2 linked regions of the Oreochromis niloticus genome follow. The protein of the gene in region 2 purifies or fractionates together with the protein of the main gene of each other region. This does not show direct contact. Links are inferred from orthologs where the notes say so. Each region holds a gene or a part of one and is shown on either strand. Other genes may lie near its edges.

Evidence for each region. Proteins that work in one complex are often made in the same cells at the same time.
Region 1: the proteins of sost (region 2) and lrp5 purify together in Homo sapiens (affinity purification with mass spectrometry; 3 studies listed by BioGRID and IntAct, counting the BioPlex papers as one, with this or other methods). This does not show direct contact. The link is inferred for Oreochromis niloticus from reciprocal best matches to the Homo sapiens genes SOST and LRP5.

What each region holds. Positions count from the first base shown.
Region 1 is NC_031972.2:39,324,618-39,331,756, reverse strand, and holds the start of lrp5 (low-density lipoprotein receptor-related protein 5), read left to right. Parts: upstream 1-4,099; 5' UTR 4,100-4,375; intron 4,376-7,139. UniProt on the Homo sapiens protein: Acts as a coreceptor with members of the frizzled family of seven-transmembrane spanning receptors to transduce signal by Wnt proteins.
Region 2 is NC_031973.2:6,392,492-6,399,702, forward strand, and holds the start of sost (sclerostin), read right to left. Parts: upstream 3,110-7,211; 5' UTR 2,903-3,109; coding exon 2,647-2,902; intron 39-2,646; coding exon 1-38. UniProt on the Homo sapiens protein: Negative regulator of bone growth that acts through inhibition of Wnt signaling and bone formation.

The sequences.
Region 1 (7,139 bases), on a different chromosome or scaffold from region 2:
ACATTTGTTTGAAGACCTGAAACATTTAGGTGTGACAAACACTTAAATGAAAGGCAGGGTACTCTCACAGAATTGCACGTAATACTTTTGGTGTAATCTTTGAAGGATCTTTTCTAAACTCTCTAAAAAAGTTCTTTGAGAGTTTGCTTTTCTTTATTCATCATTTCAAACTACAAAAAAAGTCAGCTACTTAGAAATGCTTTTGGAGCTTCTTTCTGCATATTTATAATGTTTGTTTTTTTTAGGGTCCATTCTAAGTTATTGTGATTGTATCATGGTTCACATCTACCAGATTTTACTAAGAAGAATGACTTTATCAGTAACTAAGCTATGTATGCCTGTATTTGTTGGGAGGGGTGCCTCTATGGCCCATACATCCAATGTCATGTCCTAAATTAAAACACCTGACTCCAAGTAGCATACTGGAAGGAGCCATTTACACAATCTCCACGATTCTTGTGTTTGTGTTGTAGATGAAATTTAGACCACAGTTCATAAACAGTGAGTGCTGATATCCTATTGAGTGACTACTTCAGTAAGTATTTTTTTGCATTTACAATAGTGCATGTTATTTGCTGTGGTATGCCAGCTAACAACAGCTGCACAACACAAGAGAACCTTCCAGTATCTGCAGAAAATTTATATAAACACATAACGTATAATGCTGTATACAGCCTTTATCTGTTTGTTTTTTTTTACATTACTTAAGAAACTGATTTTGCACCTTTTTTTTTAGTGTGATCTGGAAATTATGTATTGTCTACTTCACTGATTTTACTGAATAACCAAATCCAACATTTGATTCATAAAACAATGGAACTGAATGAATTGCGATGAACAACGCCGCACACACTGGGGTATTAAACAATAAAAGGCTTTACACATTTAAATGTATCTAAATGCATTTTCTTGGTCAACACTATACTGAGTGCAAAAGTGTGTGTTTGACTGACTGTACTTAAACTGCTGAATGAAATTAGACAGAATTTTCTAGTTTATTGTGTCTAAAGATATCCAGAGGAAGACAATGATAATTTATTTCGGGGGAATGCTCCAGTGTAACATAAGGACATTTTGTCATGGTCCCCGTGCCTGCTCGGCTGGCCCTGTGTGGCTACATGTGTTGTTTTTGTCTCTCTCCTCTCTCTCTACTCGCTGCCTGGGCGGAGCTCATAGTGGGCTCCCGCTCCTGGCCTTCACCACCTGTAGGCAATCACCTGTGGCTCCTCACCTTGTTTGCTCTCGCTACTTAAGGCAGTGACTGAGAGCACCTCGCCGCTGGACTATTGAGTAACGCTCGTCAGTGCTACTTTAGCCTCAGCCAGTTTTTGAGCTCTCTTCGTGAAAGTTTTCCGTGTTAACTCTTGTTCTCTGTATACAGATTTCTCGTGCTTGGTTTGGAAATCTGGACACCTAAGCCTGTTCGTGAGTGCCGTAGTGAGAGTGGCGTGTGTGAGGAAAGGACCTTTCCAAGCGCGCCGCTCTGCCCGAGTGGGGCGGAGTAAGAGAGGACACTTTTCCCAATTTTTCCCTGTACCCCTGGGAACCCTAGCCCCCTTCTCCTTCACCAGTGTATAGTGCACCAGGAGTGTGTAAATAAAACCAGTTTTCTGTGATTTCAGTCTGCGCCGAGTCCTCCCTGCTCCCTCGTGACACATTTGTGATTTCACTGTATTGCTGGCAAAGACTGAAAATTTGAAGTGAAGTAACTTCTCTTCCTGTTCCTCTTGCTTATTTGCAAAAAGGGAAATGCAAAAGTAAATGCTCTCTGTATCATGCTCGGGCAAGAACAATAATTCTTAACTATACAACTTAGGACTTTTTTTTTAATTAATGTAATCAACAATCAAGCACATTTTTAGGGGACACACAATTTTCATCTGTCTCTACTTTGGCTGGCTGGTAACAGCAGCACACAGTACAAATGACAAGAACTGATAATAATACAAATAATTGTCACACTTTTTTTTTTTTTTTAGTTATGGTCACATTTGCTAATGATTGTTTCATACAGCAGTATACCATATAGCACAGGCATTTTTTTTTTACATGTATTTTTCATTTTTAGAGTTTTTAATGAACATGACTGACAGGGGATTTCTTTAAATCACCCTGCCGTTCTTTGTTCAGCTGAGACACCTGAGTTAGAAAACACAAACACTGCAGATTTTCTTTAACTCGCGAGGGCAGCCATGGAACGCAGGATCTGCGTCTCATCTCTGTCTGCGTTTTTTATTTATACAGTTCTGTGTCTGTGTGTGTGTGTGTGTGTGTGTGTGTGTGTGTGTGTGTGTGTGTGTGTGTGTGTGTGTGTGTGTGTCAAGGTAACAACGTCACTCAGAGCAGCGGGTTTTTCCCTTCTCTACTCATAACAGAGCTGAGCTCTTCTCTACATCTAAATGTTCTTTAAAAACAGGAAGCGGTTAGTATCTGCATAGGTTCATCACAAGTTACTAGGTGAAAAGTCACGTAGACATGTGCTTAATGAAAGGATACATTTCATGTAGCTGATCACATGTATATACAATTTTCCTTTGACAATGACCTTGAATGTAATCAAATATGATGTGTAACATGGGCCATATCAAAAACTGTCTTCTTCCACTCACTTTTTATGTGATTTGAAAACATGGATTTTATTGGTTAAATGCTACAAGTCCTGTTTGCAGGCTTTACAACAGACCACTGGAGGATTTGGTCCTGATTGGTATTTGATGTTTCCAAGCCATAAGTAACAATCTCAGGCTCAGTGTATTTTTTTTAATTTTTTTTGCATGATTATTTGTTATTGAGTGATTTCCATAAAATTCATCTAAAAATATTACGGAAATCACATTACCAGTTATACACCAGTCTAACAATATCAATAAGTACTATCTTCTTTAACTGGTTGATGATTACATGACTTACTTGCCCTTGTGCTTAAAACCAAGCACATTTGGGGAAGACTGAGGTATGCTGCAATACATCCTGGAACTCAGTTTGATTTTTTTTTTTAAATGCTGGAGGCCAGACAAAAACAAGCTGGAGTTCTTGCTTAATTTGAATTGCTGTTTGGTTACTTTAAGTTACATGGTTATCCTGTATCAACATCAGTGTGTTTAATAAGGTCTTGATATTCTGTCATGACTGACAGGGTGAGGGTTGTTAGTAAATGTTGCTGTCACTAAAGACACATTTACTGATTTTTATTACTTATTAATTGGATATTTTATTAATAACAAAATGGGCAAATCCATTTAAAAAATCCTGCAAGTGTGGGTTAAAATGACCTGTTGCGTCTAGCATGTCTTTTTGCAAACCTATGAAAAAAAGTCAGCTTCATTTCCAAAATCAGTTGCAGCTGATTTTCAATCAAGTGTGGCAGTTAAAAAAAAAAATCTACTTTTGAAATGATTCTATTTCGTACAAGAAATAGTTTAATAATGTTTATTCTTCCCAAACATATCATTCTTCCTGTCTCTGAATTTCATCTGTATCTGCAGCCATTTACGACAGACCTATGTATCAACAAACAATAACTGCTGTTTGATGAATTTTACTTCAAAACTGTAATATTGCATTCTAAAGAGTCCTAGAATGTTATTAGAAAGCAAAACTTAACTTGGAGAATTGTAATATGTCGCAGCCATCCCTGATTCGTGTTGAAATATCCGACTTTCCAGATTTAATAAATTCTGTGATTCGTTTTTTCATTTGCTATCATCTTTAATGACGTGGATTATTAGCACACAGAGAAATCCCAGTTATTTTAAGTGTCTCCCCCCACTCGGCATTAACAACAAGTGGAAGGAGCCTCTTAACTAGGAATTTCCTTTGTTTCATCCTAGTTTTACAGAGGTTCACTTCATTTAAAAGTCATACTTTACATCTTGTTTTAGAATTTCATGTGCAGGGACATAAAAGTCTGTCCTTAAAGCAACAGAGCAGCGTTTACTTTAACTGCTGTCCAACATCTGATATTTATGACATTTACACAAAAGTCAAATTAGTAAGAATAAAAAATGGGACAGCCTCGTGTTGAGTGACGTAATTCCACGCCCGCATGCCCTTTCTCTCAGTGCGCGAGCTCGAGAGTCCAAAGTATAAAGTAGCGCGAGCGCCTTAAGTGGGACGGGGTGGGGGGGAATGTAGTCGATAGCGAAGGATACACAGAAGCGCACACTCCTGCATGCAGCCACATCTGGCTTTACAGTGGAGCACAGACCATATGTGTACATGTGAGCACTGAGGAGTGGAGGGCTTCACAACTCGATTGAGGAGTAAATATAAGAAAATGGACCCGGAGTTATGGATTTAAAGTGCAGAGGACTTGAAATGGGCGGTCTACTGGTGGCGTTGCTGCTCTGGAGTTGCCTTCTGTCGGCGGTTGACGGTACGTTTACTTTTTGTTCACAACATGGATCCTCAAGAAAGGTGGAAGCACGAAAGCTGATAAGAACACTGGTGAACACGGTCCGACCCTGCCGTGCATTTGTGCACTTCACTGCCCTCAAACGTTTTCCACATTTGGTCAGTCTAAGTCTAGCAGCGATTTCTTGTGTCAAACTTTAGATTTTTATATCCCAAGGGCAAACCAACACAATGGAAGTCTTTAAACTTTGAATTGGTGTTGGCGACACGCTCTATGAGAAAGCTTGTGTAACCAAACGGACCCCTGCTTTCCCCCTCAGTTTTACAGCCGTCACAGCCAAAGGAAAAGAAATTAACTTTAAAGTCAGCCTGGCTATTTTGTCGGGCCTCGGTAGCTCCAGCCATTCGTGCTCGGTGTCGGATGTCAGCCAGTCTTTCTTCTGTAATGGTGCAAATACGCCGGTATGTTTATTTGAGAAAGAACACAGCAGAGAACAAGGCAAACATTTTCCAATCAGGATCGATGTCTTTATAAGCATTCCCTTCTCCACCGCCTGAATTGCGCTATTACTATTTAATCGCCTGAAACTGCTCAGCGAGAGGCGGAGCTTAGTTTTCTCTCATATGGATACATTTTTGCAGGTCCTGGTGCTTTCTATACAGCCCCTTACAGATCAGGCATATTATTTCATGCTCCAATAACTCCTATAAAATTAACTTCTAAGAACTCTAGCTCCCTTTAAGTTCACTCGATTGTTTTTTTAAGGTACAGGTGAGACCGATTCCAGATTTGTTGATGAAAGTCGCAATCTTTGCGCTGTTTTACAAACTGCTTTTCTACTTTCCGTCAGTGTCACTGGGTAGTTAGTTATAACTTTGCATAACACTAATTTATATAAGAAGAACGGCCAAAGTGGAGGTTATACTTGGACTTCATTGTAACTTAACAGTTTGAGATATATGCCGCACCTACTCAGCTATTTTATCATTAAAATTTTCCTGAGTCAGCTACCTCATCATGTTTTCACTGAGTTGGTTAGCTGGTGTGTGTGTGTTAAAATAATCTTACGTGTTTTACTACTCAAAAAAAGAACATGAAGTGCTGACTGTGTAAATTTAGATTATGAGGTTCAAAAAATGAACCACTATCCTTGACTAGATAGTAGATCCTTTAGATTTTCATTATTCCTTTTTATGATCTCTAAGTAGCTCATACACTTTCTATGATATATTTCTGATTATCTTTTAACTAAACACAGCCAGAGAAAATGCACTAACTACTCACTCATTACTTATTACTCCAACTACTTTCAACCCTCTAGTAGTAATTCCTTCATGATTAACCTTACAGCTGTGGTATTAGGTAAGGAACAATTCTAAGCTTGAGAGCTGGGCGAGTAATTTTATTTTTCTTTTAGTTTTCACTTCAGTTTAACTGTAGAGAAGACACAGTGCTTTTTATTTAACGACATATAAATAACAGCAATAATTTTTTTAAAGGTTAGGGACTTAAAGAAAACCTAATAGTTGATAGAAAATAAAATGAATTATTGCAGTATATAAAAGATACATTTTATGTTAGTCATCTGCAGCACTTAGATGCTGCAAACATGTTAATGCATCCAGTAAAATACTAATGAAGCCTAATTTGTGAGCAAAGAATACTTTTTAAACACATTTTGTTACTAATATTTACATCATTTTCATTCAGTAATGGTTCAACAGAGGTCCTCTAATTTTGTTCGAGTATGTTTAAGTTGTATTTTGCTAGTTTTGCCTCAGCTCGACTGTGTCATCGTTATAATTTAAGTGTCCTCTTATTTAAAGTGAAGCATATTTAGTTAGTAAGGACTTCAGTTTTGTCTTAACAGTTTTTTTCTAACAGCACAGTAGGCCAGATGAAAAATCCCTTAGGCCTGTTGTACTATTTTCAAGTGAAATCTTTCACACACTTTCAGATGTGTCAAATGGTAACAAAGTCCAACAATAACCTGTTGCTCAAAGTAACATATTTATCTTGTACCCTTGAGAAAGCATGACTCTGTTTCTTATCACTTACAGTTGAAAAGAGTAATGTAAAATTAAAACATACTGTGTACAGTGTCAGTACTGAACTCTCACCAGCCTCTAACCTCCACTGGTACATAGTGGAACTTTAGGTCCACATCACTGATATAACCATAAGAAAATTCATCCAAATCATGTATATGTTTCCTACAGATCCACATCTAGGATGTATTTGTATGTGCTTGAGTCTATGCCTTTCAAGAAAATCTCTCATCCTGAACTCAATTTCTCCCATTTTGGACCGCAACTGACCTTGTTTTGCTCTTTACCCTTGGTAACCATGAATCACTTCACCACCTGCCCCAGGTTCATTGTAGTGTGGTGCTTAGCAGATTTCCAGAGAAAAACAGTTGGAGCTGACATACACTCAACCACAGGATGAGATCCTTTCTGGGAGGCCACTGAAAGACAGAGGACTGCCACAATAGCAACATTAGCTACAGATTATGCAAATAATATACCTGGCTGGCCACCCAGGTATAAGTAGTACACTCTGTGTGTGGAAACCCTAAGATAGCTTTGCCTGTTAGGAACATGACTATTAATATGCTGATTGACATTAGAATATAGCAATATCTATACACAGTATCAAGCATTCCATAGTTAGCATTTTGCAGCACCACAGTGATTGTGTATTAATTCAGTTCAATTTTATTTATATAGCACTAAATCACATCTTGATAATAATGAATTACAGTAGTCCAGCCTAAAAGTAATAA
Region 2 (7,211 bases):
GGTCGAACGCAGCTCCCTGCAGCTCACCTCCGAGGCACCTGGGTTGAAGAGAGGAGATAACCGTTAACACTCATGGATCGAGTCCAGAACAAACACTCTGGAGAGCCACACAGTGCTGCGGACTTTCTGCAGGGCGACTGCAGCTGTGTCTTATTTCAGTGTGTGATCATTTGCCTCGGTCTGTTTATGCCAACGTGACTTCACGTGTTGCGTTATTTATGTGAAAAACAAACAACGTAAGGCAAATAAAGTCTGAACCGGAGGCAGCGTTTCATTTCAGCTCCGACACGTTACGAGACACAAAAGAGCAGCTGAAAAATCCACTTTTCTAAATTCAGCCTAATACAGTAATTTGTACTTTTAAGTGGAGGCTTAAGCCAATGAGATCAGAGTTTCTGAATTTGATTTATGGTCTGATCATTAGCTGACAACTGGGCCTGACGAAGAAATCCAGCTGGCAGCAATCAGCTGATAGCAAATCCAGACCAGAGGGCCATTAAACAGCTCAATCAAACCGAACGGAGGTTTGGTCTGGAAGGAAAAAGCTGGCATTCACCGTTGGCCCTCAGGAAATGTATGTGGTGATGGAAGAGTAAATAGCTGTCTGGTTATTTTAAGGCAGCGCTACAACTGTACACTTCTGAATAAACTGGACATCTGCCAGGCTGATTCGAGACAGCACACTCAGGCTGTAATCCTATATTTCAGCTGCAGCTTTTTAACAGCCGTACGCATGAGTTATTGTCCTGTGTTTTTTTTCTTTTTCTTTTTTCTTACAAGCTGCATGTTTAAAAAAAAAAAGAAAGAAATCGAGGAGGCAAAAGAACTGTTGGTTAAGAAATGATACACTCGGAGAAGGATCTGTTTTCCTCTGTGGCTTTCTTTGCAAAAAGGGCTGAACAAAGGATTTATGTGAGGTGACTTCCTTTTTTTCCCCTCTCCTCACGAGAACATGATCTAGTGTTATTCTGCGGCTGCTGGTGAAGGCGACCGCAGAAGTATACAACGCCTACAGCGTACACCGGGTGGCGGTTTGCACCAGTTACCACCATATGCCAAGACAGGTTGTCTTATTTATGAAGCACCAGGATGTGTTTTAATCCAGCCTAACATTTTCAATTCTCCACCCTAGTTTTAAAATTACTAATGAGCCTCAAATTTTCATGATTACACACTAGACTACTGTAGAGTTGCGTGAGCTGTTCCTTTCCCTCAGCTGTGGGAGACAAGCCTCTGGGGAAGACTGGAGGGAGGCCAGGCAGTGGTCACAGCCTCTTTTGTGACCCCACAGGGGGAAGGATAACTTGAAAATTAAGATATGGGTGAAGAAAATAATCCAGGAGAGTTCTGCCTTCATTAGCTGCACATTCACTGTAAAAGCAAGAGATGCATTTTCCATCCCTGCTAATAATGAATAAATTCCTGTTAAATGAGATCTTCTGGAGCTGTTGCTTGGCGTGTGATTTTTTTTCTTTTTCTACCCTTTAAGACAAGAAAATCAGTCACACTAACTCTCCTCGACTTACTACTCACTTCTTGTCAGCTGTTGCTCTTCTAATCTAATCAATCATCTCCTCTGATCTCCAAATCAAGGGGCCATAATTTAACAAAAATGTTGCACCACCCATCTCGAATCCATGAGACCAAGCATGAGATTATCCTGCATGCGCTACTTAATCAGAACACACAACCGTTACCGGCCACAGGTGGGAATCATTGTCAAAGGCAGTGTTGCATTTAAAAAGCAATTTCTAAAACCCCCCCAAAGACATCTCCCCAAAGAGCAAACTGTGGGGTTTTTTCTGTTTGGGAGACATGTTGTTGCAATCAAATAGTTATGGTGGAAGTAGAGCTTGACTAATAGTATGAAGAGAGAAGGAAACAACCTGGAAGACAATGTGAAAAAGCCCCGATGTCTCACTGACTGCTGTGTGTAGGGGAAGAAACCACAGGAATGTGCGTCTGAGCCGCTCTCATCACCCTCACCTCTGGATTAAACCAGACCTTTTACACGCTTCTTAATCAGGAAATTGATGTGATAATGAAGCAGGATGTAGAGGCAGGGTGTTTTAGGGCAATTTTTAAAAAGCCACATTAATTTGGAGAGCCTACATTTTCCACATACACTGAATATTTTTGACACAAGATTTTAAATTTTATTTTATTTTTAAGCCAAAAAAAAGTTGAATTAAAGTTTAAAATTCTTAAATGTGGAAAATATAATGAGAAATAAACTTTCCTAATTTATGTCACATTTTTGTGTATTAAGTAAAGGTTGGGTGTACAGCGCAGTTGGGTCCACGTTTATTCTTTATAAACGTGCACTAATTGAAAATGGGGACCTAAAATCAAATAAATAAACATTTATGCTCCTTCCTGCTTGTTCTCATACAAGCTGGGAATAGGTTTTATGCGATAAAATCCGAAAGTTTTCTAAATTTAAGCCTTTTAATGAGTTTTTATAAAGCTCTGACGGATGGTTAATTTTACGCACAAGAGCCTCCAATTAAGAGGTCAAATTAAATCACTCCAGCATTTAAACTTTAAGCATTGCGTCGATTTACTTATTGATCTTTACCTTCTCATTTTATTTAACTTGTAAAATTAAATATTTAACATTTGTTCTGTCATCTTTATGATACTTACTGTAGGAAACTGTGCTTGCCGCCCGTCCGCCGTTTTTTGCCCTGTTATTCATAGCGTTGCTGTTGTTGTTGTTGTTATTGTTGCTGTTGGACGGCTGTAGTATTGCCTCCAGCGGCGTCCGCGTATTTTCTCTGCGTTCTGGTAAAATCTCCGTGCCATCATTTTTTAAAACCTTCCATCCCTTCACAGCGGTGCAGCATCCCTGGAGCAGCAGGAAAGCCGAACTGGAGACGAGGAGGGCCACAGACACCTGCATGCTTGTCGGTCAGCAGGAATAAATCACACAAGGAGATTTAAAAAAAAAAAAATTTGTTAAAATAAAACACACACACACACACACATACACACACATACACAAGAGATGTCCTTCTGAACAGGCTGGTCACTTGCACTCTCAAAGCAAGAGGCGAATGCGGTATTTAAGCGCTGCGCAAGTTTTCGTCAGGGCTGACAATTAGGCGCTTACACAAAGTGGGAGGGATTGAACCTGGCCGAGAGATTCATTGAGAAAGGAGGAGGGGAGAGGTTTGGATGAATGCGCAGAGAGAGGAGAGAGCAGGAGAGGAGTAACAGAGAGAGGAGAGAGCAGGAGAGGAGTAACAGAGAGAGGAGAGAGAAGAAGAAAAGTAATAGAAAACTGAGAAGATCAAGGAAGAAGAGACCGCAGTGAAGGAAAATACAGATATGAGCAGGAGTGCTTCCATTATTTATTTACTTATTTTTAAAATAGTTAACCAGAATATTTGATCAGAAATTTAAAAAAAGAGTGTAGAGGATATTAGGGAAGATTTCCAGGCTTGTGTGCAGCCTTATGCCTTCATAGAGTACATATGTTCTATATGAAAAGTGTCTGCACAAGTGCCTGAAAATCATTTTGTCAAGTATTTAGACCATTTACTGAAGTAAAAGCCATAAGCTTACTGAAATGGTACAAACGGCTAATGTGTATTGTTTGGCCATATAGAGCAACAGTGTGGTGATATTTCCATCTACATGAAATAAAAGTAACATTTTCTTCTTTTTTTGATCTTTAAATGCTTCAAAGTACTCATTATGTTATTCAGTCATAATAATTGATTCATTAATGTACATGTCATTTTAATCACCTTTACATACAATATAATAAGTAACCAGGCTGATGTCTGCATTGGTCAGTTAAATGCTTGAGTAAAATTCTGAAGTTATGCTCTACCACTTATCCATGTTCTTATCCACTGGTGTTGGGGATTATAAGCCTAATAATTCTGGGCTGGTGCCACCCTGTGCCATTGCTCTAAACACACCCTTGGGTGTGAGATGAGACTGAAAAAGGAGAAGAGAGGGAAAGGTCAGAGGAGAGTGGAGGAAATGGGAGTAAAAAGAGTTAAGATAAGGGGGATGAAAGCCAAAGGAAAGGGTTGAAAGGACAGAGAAATAAAAAAAGAGATACTGGAGAGGAGCTTACTTATGTCAGAGAGTGTTGAGTGAGGCAGCTCATCTGCACATCGCTCTGTGCCGCTGTTGTTGTTACTGGATTTAAGTGCACCGGTGCATCTTCTCCTCCCCCTTCTTTAACAGCTTCCGCAGCATTACGTGTCTCAGAAAGCATTTTTTTTTTCAAGGGGGTTTATTTTGGACTTCATCGCAGGGTGCAACTTGTTCCACTGCTGCAGCAAACATGCGCCACACACACTCCACCCGAGACACGTTTTTACCCTGTCTTTGACTCAAGGCTGTACACAAATTAATCATTTGATCCTTCACATTAATTACCCATCATTACACGTCTCAGCAGAGACACTTAATATAACGAGATGTGAAAATCTAAAAAAGTATGAGCACAGCAACATGTGTTCTGAACACAATTTAAATGTTTGCCATGACAATCCAATATTTCATATCCACATATCTGTTTTAAATAAAATGTTATAGACTGTGAGTTCTTGGCACCCCTCATATCCCAGTGATTTGATAAGTGCTGACAGATGGAGGCTCTTCCATTCAAACACTGCCCTCTTGAGGGAGACTACACAAGTTTTGCATGACACTGTCCGGCTCTACTGATGGGTACAGGCATGCAGATCTTTGGTTTTTATCTCTTAAACTCTAAAGTGGTTCTCTTGGTCAGTATCGCATCGCTCTAACCGCTCATTGAGGCACCGATGTGCTTCCATAATCATACACACCCTCCTCATGGTCTTTCTAGTTTTATACAAGCCTCAAATGAGGGTTTGAAGCTTTGGCCAACTGGCCCATCCATCACAATTTAAAGTGGTGAACATAATGGGGATAAGATTAAATTAAATTTATTGTTAAGGAGTTTTAAATAACATCAGCCAGTCAAAAACATTTTCTTCTGAAGAGAAAGTAACAACAGAGCTTTTCATCATTTCTAAAAGCCTCGTATAGGGGCCACTCTTCTTGAGTGTCAAATCCAATTATCTTTAAAATTTGCATTTTCAGTCCAGCCTTTAGGAGCTTAACAGTCCTTTCATGTGTAAACGTTCCTGCATCAACTGTAGGTATGTAATAGTGTTGTTTTATAGCTGCTACTAGATTTGATGGAATTTAAAAAAAAAGGTCAAATGTTGGTTTAGTGAGAACAAGTTTTTTTTCTTGGGGCTAAACTAAAGCTGCATTAAAAGTAAAGTAAAAAAAACACAACACAGCAAAAACACTTAGCAGAAATGAAGATAAGAACATGGAACTTTCAAACAACAAGAGAAAACAGTCTTTAAATGGGCTAATAAGCCCTGAAAATTAAATGTAGTTAAAAAGACTTAAAAAGCACCTGGATCTGTAACTCTGTTGTTCACAATAGTGAAGCTGCTCCTTAAGCAATACTCACGTCAGAGCTGAAAAACAGTTTTTACTTTCAAAAAAAGTACATAAAGACAAATTTTGATACTTTCTGTGCAACTGCAGTACAGCTTCAAACATCATGACACATTGCTGTAAAACCACAAAACAGTTTTTACAGTAATTTAGCATTTTTTTGTGTGTGTACGGATAAATACTGTAATTGTTGACCGCCTGCTCATATGAGCTCAGCAGAACGACTCAAGTCATTCAACTCATTAATGTAGAAGTGTTGTTATGCCTGTTTTAGGTATGTCGTGTTTAGATTATGATCGTTGTGGATGTGTGGTTTGTGTGGTCTTAGCTAACAAAGGGCCATCAACACAAAGACTCCTGAAGCAAATCATCATGTCCAGACGGTGTTGTTCTAAAAGTCGGCTGTTCGAATGTTCTGTAACGCATTATTCACATGACTGTTTGATGTGATGATGGGAAATTGCACAAAAGCTGATGTCAATAAATAGTTTAAGAAGGAAAAGAAACTTGTTCAACAGCCATGATCTTACATTTTTATCTTTTTCATCAGACAATATGATAAATTTACCACATATTTGCACCAATTAACCTCAACTGTTTTGCTTACTCATAGTGCATTTCATATAGATGCATATTTGCCAGTAAAAACACAGTTATGCACTGGCTATCTCATGTGTTTGCATGGTTTCTGTTATAATTTATGATATTCATAACATGTAGGAGTTTATTCTATAAAACCCTTTTAGACTGAATGTATTTTCAGTGCATTTAAATAATATATATTTTATATTTTGGCGTGTAAATGCCCCAAAATATCAAGTGACCCAAAGATAAATTCAGAATAAAATATGCTGGGATCATTTTTATGATTGTTGAAATAAATTAAAATGTACAAAAATCAAAAGCTGTTGAGATGCCTACATTTTTTTGTAATTTTGCCAAAATCTGTAAGTAGAGGAAAATGTTTATGGCATAACCATAAACATTGATAGAAAGTGATAGTGACACATTTAAAACATAAAGAGCAACACTGCAGTGGTGTTTCTGGCCATTTCCAATTTTTACTTATATTTTCATCTTCATTGTTAAAATGCGGCACTATATTTAGCAGCCGTTTGGTGCTATCAGAAACTAAAATTCACACCTTAAAAGGGGGGAAAAAATTGTTCTTCATTTTTAAAATGTAATTTATTAAAAACATGGTTTACTTCTTAAGTGCAAACTTGTAAGAATTTGTCGAATGAATAAAAATGAGTTTGCCACACTTGGGCTAAACAGTGTTTTTATCCATGCATCCATTTTTTTTCCTGCTTATTTAATTCAGGTTCAAGGTGGGACTTGAGCGTATCCCAGCTGTCATAGGGCGAGAGGTCAGGTAAATGCTCTAGTCTGTTGTACAGAGGGGCAAACAACCATTCACATTCCAGCCTAATGTTTATGTCTTTGGACTGTGGGAGGAAGTTGGAGCACCTGAAGAGAATCTACGCAGGCGCAGGGAGAACATGAACGCTTGCTTGGACGGAGCTAAGCACTGCGCCGCCATGCCGCCAAGGTGAAATGTGTAATATAAGATTCTTCTAATGGCTACAACGGATAGAGTATAAAACTTTAGTGAAGTTTGCATCAAATTCAAAGTGTTCACTTTTTTCCAAAAATTGCAGATTGGCAGCAACGTGAAATCTGATGAACAAGAGTATTGTGAAAGATGCTAACAGGGGAGTTTGGCAGACCTATGCCAAAAATCAAAGAAT